Anolis sagrei: one gene and its partner. The protein of the gene in region 1 purifies or fractionates together with the protein of each later gene. This does not show direct contact. Links are inferred from orthologs where the notes say so. Each region holds a gene or a part of one and is shown on either strand. Other genes may lie near its edges.

Region 1 (3,755 bases):
ATATGACAATATTATTATTATATTGTATTACTAGCCATCCCCTGCCACGCGTTGCTGTAGCCCACATGAGGGTTCTGTGTGGGAGGTTTGGCCCAATTCTTTCATTGGTGGGGTTCAGAATGCTCTGTGATCGTAGGTGAACTATAAATCCCAGCAACTACAACTCCCAAATGTCAAAATTCTGTTTTCCCCAAACTTCACCAGTGTTCACATTTGGGCATATTGAGTATATGTGTAGAGTTTGGTCCAGATCCATCATTGTTTCAGTCCACAGTGCTCTCTGGATGTAGGTGAACTACAACTCCAAAACCAAAGGACGCTGCCCACCAAACCCTTCCAGTATTTTCTGTTGGTCAAGGGAGTTCCGAGTGCCAAGTTGGGTTCAATTCAATCATTGGTGGAGTTCAGAATGCTCTTTGATTGTAGGTGAAGTATAAATCCCAGCAACTACAACTCCCAAGTGACAAAATCAGGGTTTTTTTAGTGATGGTCACTCCTTGGGTTAGTAGGTGTCTTGTGGCCAAATTCGGCAGCAATTCATCCAGTGGTTGGTGGGGTTCAGAATGCTCTTTGATTGTAAGTGAACTATAAATCTCAGCAACTATAAATCCCTGTAGAGTTTGGTCCAAATCCATCATTGTTTGAGTCCAAAGTGATCTCTGGATGTAGGTGAACTACAACTCCAAAACTTTATATAAATTGCATTATTATTATAAATAATTTATATTTTTATAAATAATTTTATATTATTATATTGTATTATGATTAGTTTTATACTCTTACATTATATTATTATCAATATTCTATGTACATACAATATATTATATGATTAGCACAGAACAATATTAGTAGCTATTTATTAAATAAATTATTTAGTATTTTATTTATTAAATAAATAGTGCATAGAAGCCAAACTCTGTCCTGCCACAGAGTCCTCCACTCTCCCACTTGGTAACCTAGGAGACCCAGAGGTTCCCTCTTGGCGGACTTAGCCCCCATCTCCTCTCTAGCCCCCATCTCCTCTCTCCCTCTCCGGAAGTGCACTTTTTTCCTGTCTTCCGCTCTCTCCTCTCGTTCGCCTCGCGCTCTGTCTCTCTCTCCCTCTCTCTTCCCGGCTCGCCGGCCGTTGATTGCAGCAACAAGGAAGCAAGATGGCGTCGGCGGGCGGAGATTGCGACGTGATTATGGCGGCCGCCCCGGCGGTGGCTTCGCATCCTGAGGCGCCGGTGATGCTGGGCGACGAGGACGAGGAGTCGGAGACGCGGAGGTAAGGCCTGGCTCCTCTCCCGAGGCGGGAAGGGCCTGCTTCTTCGCTTCAGGACGGGGAGGAGGAGCCTGCTTCACAGGAAAGCGGGGGGAAAGGAGGCCCTCTCCAGGGGCCTTCTGCAGGCAGCATTGTCATGCCTCTCAGCCCCTTTCTCGGGGTTCTGGAGTGCCAGAATGCTGCACCCCAGCATGAGTGCAGTTTGACCCCACTTAAACAGCTAAGGCTCCATGTTATGGGGCCCTGGGATTTGTAGTTTGCTGGGAGCAGACGACGTCGAAGCCCTTGGCAACTAAAGTGGATCCAAGTTTGCAAACAAACCATTAATTCAGGGTTGCTGTGAGTTTTTCGGCCTGTATGGTCGTGTTTCAGTATTGAAAAGAGTGAATGAATTGTTTACTGTACCAGCCATAGGCCATGACATCACATAATATACAACCTTTAAAAGTACAATGAGAAGTTCCCAATATGACTATTACTTACTTAGGTGATCCCTCGTTTTCCGAGGAGGATTGTCTTCCAGTATTCTTGTGGGTCCGTATGTGGCTGTGGAGCCCTATTCTTGCTCTGCATCTTCTTCTGCAGTGAGGGCATTGGTTTCCAGGTGGAAGGCGGTCTCGGTCGGGGTTGGCTTGACACGCCTTCCTCTTGGCACGCTTCTCCCTTTCGCCCTCCATTCATGCCTCTTCAAATTCTGCAGCACTGCTGGTCACAGCTGACCTCCAGCTGGAGCGGTCAAGGGCCAGAGCTTCCCTGTTCTCAGAACTTGTATGTAGTTGCCTTCACTTAGGTGATCCCTCGTTGTCCGAGTAGGATTGTCTTCCAGAATAGGTGTACTGGCGGTGGGTATGTAGGTGACTGTGGAGCCCTATTCTTGATCTGCATGTTCTCCCACAGTGAGGGCATTGGTTTCCAGGTGGAAGGCAGTTCTGGTTGGCTTGACATGCCTTCCTCTTGGCACATTTTTCTCTTTCACCCTCCATTCGTGCCTCTTCAAATTCTGCAGCACTGCTGGTCACAGCTGACCTCCAGCTGGAGTGGTCAAGGGCCAGAACTTCCCAGTTCTCAGTGTCTTTGCCAGAGTTTTTAAGGTTGGTTTTGAGCCCATCTTTAAATCTCTTTTCCTGTCCACCAACATTCCGTTTTCCGTTCTTGAGTTTGGAGTAGAGCAATTGCTTTGGGAGATGGTGGTCAGGCATCCGGACAACGTGGCCGGTCCAGCGGAGTTGATGGCGGAGGACCATTGCTTCAGTGCTGGTGGTCTTTGCTTCTTCCAGCACGCTGAAGTTTGTCCGCTTGTCTTCCCAAGAGATTTGTAGGATTTTCCAGAGGCAGCGCTGATGGAATCATTCCAGGAGTTGCATGTGATGTCTGTAGACAGTCCACGTCTCACAGGCATATAGCAGGGTTGGGAGGACAATAGCTCTATAAACAAGCACCTTGGTATCCCTACGGATGTTCCAGTCCTCAAACACTCTCTACTTCATTCACAACCACAAAGGTCTGATTTGTAACATCCCAAAACATATCCATTTCTCGCTTCTGCTATGGACTTTAATAATAATAATGATAATAATATATATTTGTGTTCTATTTTAAGAGGACCAAACGTATGTTGTATGTTGTGTTTGCACTGTCTGTTTTTGATAAGGCCAACTGGCTAATCAATAAAATTGTTGTAATAATAATAGTAATCATCATCATCATCACTTTATTTTTCTATCCTGCCTCCATCTCCCCAAAGGGACTCTGGGCAGCTTACATGGGGCCATGCCCAGAAAACATACAGTTAAAAACAGAACAGCAAAATATAAAACAGCATAAAAACAACATCATCATCAAAAAATAAAAGCAAGCATCATAAGCAACAACATAGGTACCTCTAATCTCAATTTTTGCAGGGAGAGGATCAATATATAGTTATTTGTTTGTTTACAGTATTTATATTCCACCCTTCTCACCCCGCAGGTGACTTAGGGCAGATTACAATGTACATATACATGGCAAACATTCAATGCCATAGACACATAACATATATAGACAGACACTCAGGGGCTATTTAACAATCCAGCTTTTTCATGAGGATATTCTGGCCACCAGGGGAGCTGTCGCTTCACCCTCCATAAAAAAACCACCAGAATCAAGAGAGTAAATAAAGAACACTACTCAAACAGGGGAATTCCAGACAGCCAATCATCAAGTGCCTGTTAACACCTCCCAAAGATGCCCCCAGGCAGCAACAGCCATGTTTAGGAGAGCCATCGAGTACTTCGTGTGCTAGGGTTCCTTGTGCAAAGCCTGTAAAACTGGGTTAGTATTATGAGTGCTTGTAGAAAGCCTTCAATGGCCTTTGGTCATCCAGTGAAATTCTGTAGTGGACTTGACATTTTTGCCAGGTAATCAAGTGCCACATCATTCCAGTTTGTCAGAGAGAACAAACCTGTTCCTGTGTGATCCCAGAAAGTTTGAGCAGCCACCACATTGTGTCCAT
Region 2 (3,755 bases), on another chromosome or scaffold:
TGCGTTCTGGCACCACGAGATGCAGAGCCAACCTTAAGAAATGGGGATACAAAGTGGAATCCATGACATGCGAGAGGAGGAAACCACTGACCACCTGCTGCAATGCAACCTGAGCCCTGCCACATGCACAATGGAGGACCTTCTTGCAGCAACACCAGAGGCACTCCCAAGTGGCCAGATACTGGTCAAAGGATATTTAAGCAACTACCAAACTGACAAGTTTTGTATTTTGTCTGTTTGTTTGCTTTGTTCTGTTAGAAATGTAATATAATGGACTGGTTGCTCTGACACGACAAATAAATAAATAGTACAGATATGCTGCATTCTCACAAGACACTGAATTAGAAGTCACCATAAGATTTATATCTGTGGTTCCCAATTTAACTAATTTTACACACACCAGCTGCTATATAAATATACTGCATTCCTTTTCTACACCAAGAAATCTAGACTATACTGGTCAAAGGACATTTAATCAACTACCAAACTCACAAATTGTGTATTTTGTCTGTTTGTTAGAAATGTAATATAATTTGACTGGTTGTCCTGACACGACAGATAAATAAATAGCCATTCACTCATGCGCAAAGACAAATCTGGCCTATCCCTGGAGTTGTTTGGCGATTTACGCGTGCGCAGAAACCAAAGAGTAATCCCTCGGCCATTCACGCATGCGTGAAGCAAAAAAAAAAGTAGACGAAGGGCCGTTAATAAGTCAACGCCGGTTTCTCGCAACTCGCGCATGCGCAGAGAAAAGTGGGCGGGCTCACGAGGCCGAACCCGATTTCCTTGGCAACAGGCTTTCAAAAAAGGATCCCCCAAACAAGCGAGGGCGGGTGTTGGTGTTGCTTTACGGCACTGTCGCGCGAGAGAAGGAGTGTTCGTCTCCTCCGCCTGGAAAGTGCCTGTCAGGGAAAGAGGGCGAGTGCGCATGCGTGTTGGGAGCCAGACTGCTTGGGTCGGGATAAAAGTAGAAGCAGGAGCCGGAGGAGGATCTCATCTCCCTGGGGCGCCGGAGGAGAGCCCTGGGATGGCGGCTGCGGTGGGAGGGGCTCTGAGGAGCCCGTCTGCCTGCTTTTGGGGCCCGTGCTGACAGGAGAGAGCGTGGGGACGGCGGGGAAGGTAAGAGGGAAAGCCCCGGCTGACGTACTTTGTGAGAACTGCATGCATTTGAAGGGGATTTAGTCTCACAGTGTTTTCTGTTGGTCATGGGAGTTCTGTGTGGCAAGTCTGGCCCAATTCTGTCGTTTGTGGGACTCCAAATGCTCTGATTGTGGGTGAACTATAAATCCCAGCAAACTACAACTCCCAAATGTCAAGCTCTATTTTTCCCAAACTCCACCAGTCTTCACATTTGGGCGTGCTGAGTATCCATGCCAAGTTTGGTCCAGATCCATCATTGTTTGACTCCACAGTGCTCTCTGGATGTAGGGGAACTACAACTCCAAAACTCAAGGACAATGTCCACCAAACCCTTCCAGTATTTTCTGTTGGTCATGGGAGTTCCGTGTGGGAAGTTTGGCCCAATTCTGTCGTTTGTGGGACTCCGAATGCTCTGATTTTGGGTGAACTATAAATCCCAGAAAACTACAACTCCCAAATGTCAAGGTCTGATTTCCCCAAACTCCACCAGTGTATACATTTGAGTATACATGCCAAGTTTGGTCCAGATCCACCATTGTTTGAGTCCACAGTGCTCTCTGGATGTAGGTGAACTACAACTCCAAAAGTCAAGGTCAATGTCCACCAAACCCTTCCAGTATTTTCTGTTTGGGAGTTCTGTGTGCCAAGTTTGGTTCAATTCCATCATTGGTGGAGTTCAGAATGCTCTTTGATTATAGGTGAACTATAAATCCTAGCCCCAGTGGCGCAGTGGGTTAAACCACTGAGCTGCTAAGCTTGTTGACCGAAAGGTAGCAGGTTCGAATCCAGGGAGCGGCGTGAGTTTCCGCTGTCAGCCCTAGCTTCTGCCAACCTAGAACTTTGAAAACATGCAAATGTGAGTAGATCAATAGGCACTGCTCCAGCGGGAAGGTAACGGTGCTACATGCAGTCATGCTGGCCACATGACCTAGGAGGTGTCTATGGACAACGCCGGCTCTTCGGCTTAGAAATGGAGCTGAGCACCACCACCCCAGAGTCAGACATGACTGGACTTAATGTCAGGGGACAACCTTTACTTTACTTATAAATCCTAGCAACTACAACTCCCAATTGGCAAAATCTATTTTCCCCAAACTCCACCAGTGTTCACATTTGGGCATATTGAGTATTTGTGCCAGAGTTTGGTCCAGATCCATCATTGTTTGAGTCCACAGTAGGTGAACTACAACTCCAAAACTCAAGGTCAATGCCCACGAAACCCTTCCAGTATTTTCTGTTTGGGAGTTCTGTGTGTCAAGTTTGGTTCAATTCCATCATTTGTGGAGTTCAGAATGCTATTTGATTGTAGGTGAACTATAAATCCCAGCAACTACAACTCCCAAATGACGAAATCAAACCCCCCCCAACCCCACCAGTATTCAGATTTGGGCATATCAGGTATTTGTGCCAAATTTGGTCTGGAGAAGGAAAATACATCCCGCATATCAGATATTTACATTACGATTCATAACAGTAGCAAAATTACAGTTACGAAGTAGCAATGAAAATAATTTTATGGTTGGTGGGGTCACCACAACATGAGGAACTATATTAAGGGGTCACGGTATCACGAAGGTTGAGAACCACTGGTATAAAGGGAAATGAGGGGTTTGCCTCATTTAATGGAAAATAAAGGGGGGGGTTCATCTATAAGTAAGTGTAAAGGGAAATAAAGAGGGGCTGCATCTACTCCTGCACTAGGAAGGAAAATAAGGGGTGGTCATCTAGTATGAAGGGAAATAAAGTGTTAATCTATTAGTGTAAAGGGAAATAAAAAGGGGGTTCATCTAATATAAAGGAAAATAAAGAAAGGGTTGTTGTCGAAGACTTTCATGGCCGGGATCAATGGGTTGCTGTGAATTTTCCAGGCTGTTGGGCCATGCTCCAGAAGCATTCTCTCCTGACGTTTTGCCCACATCTATGGCATGCATCCTCAGAGGTTGAAGAATCTGTTGGAAGCTAGGCAAATGAAGTTTATATATCTGTGGAATGTCCAGGGCGGGAGAAAAAACTCTTGCCTGCTTGAGGCAGGTGTGAATGCTGCAATTGTCACCTTGATTAATGGTCTTGCAGCTTCAAAGCTTGGCTGATTGCTTCCAGAGGGGGGATCCTTTGTTGGGAGGTGTTAGCTGGCCCTGATTGTTTCCTGTCTGGAATTCCCCTGCTTTTTGAATGTTGGTTCTTTATTTACTAAAATCTAAAATCAGGACAGTAAATTTTTTATTTATTTATTTGTCGTGTCAGGGCAACCAGTCAATTATATTACATTATTACATTACATTATTACATTATTATTATTATTATTATTATTATTATTATTATTACAGTAAATAAAGACCAGCACTCAATGCTCAAAAAGCATATATTTGTATAAAGGGAGTGCACCTATTAGTATTATTTATTTTTATTTATAAAGTATTTCTACCCCGTCTCTTCTCTACTCAGGACGGCTTACAAAGTGTTCATCTATTAGTATAAAGGGGCTGCATTTATTAGTATAAAGGGGGTGCATGCATTAGTATAAAGGGGTCCATCTGTTAGTATAAAGTGTTAATCTATTAGTATAAAGGGGGAGGGGCATCCATTAGCATAAAGAGGGTTCAACTATCAGT

Evidence for each region. The genes of interacting proteins can lie anywhere in the genome.
Region 2: the proteins of DNAJC7 (region 1) and BAG5 purify together in Homo sapiens (affinity purification with mass spectrometry; 4 studies listed by BioGRID and IntAct, with this or other methods). This does not show direct contact. The link is inferred for Anolis sagrei from reciprocal best matches to the Homo sapiens genes DNAJC7 and BAG5.

What each region holds. Positions count from the first base shown.
Region 1 is NC_090026.1:45,047,797-45,051,551, reverse strand, and holds the start of DNAJC7 (dnaJ homolog subfamily C member 7), read left to right. Parts: upstream 1-1,042; 5' UTR 1,043-1,151; coding exon 1,152-1,267; intron 1,268-3,755. UniProt on the Homo sapiens protein: Acts as a co-chaperone regulating the molecular chaperones HSP70 and HSP90 in folding of steroid receptors, such as the glucocorticoid receptor and the progesterone receptor.
Region 2 is NC_090021.1:327,335,547-327,339,301, forward strand, and holds the start of BAG5 (BAG family molecular chaperone regulator 5), read left to right. Parts: upstream 1-847; 5' UTR 848-1,122; intron 1,123-3,755. UniProt on the Homo sapiens protein: Co-chaperone for HSP/HSP70 proteins. It functions as a nucleotide-exchange factor promoting the release of ADP from HSP70, thereby activating HSP70-mediated protein refolding.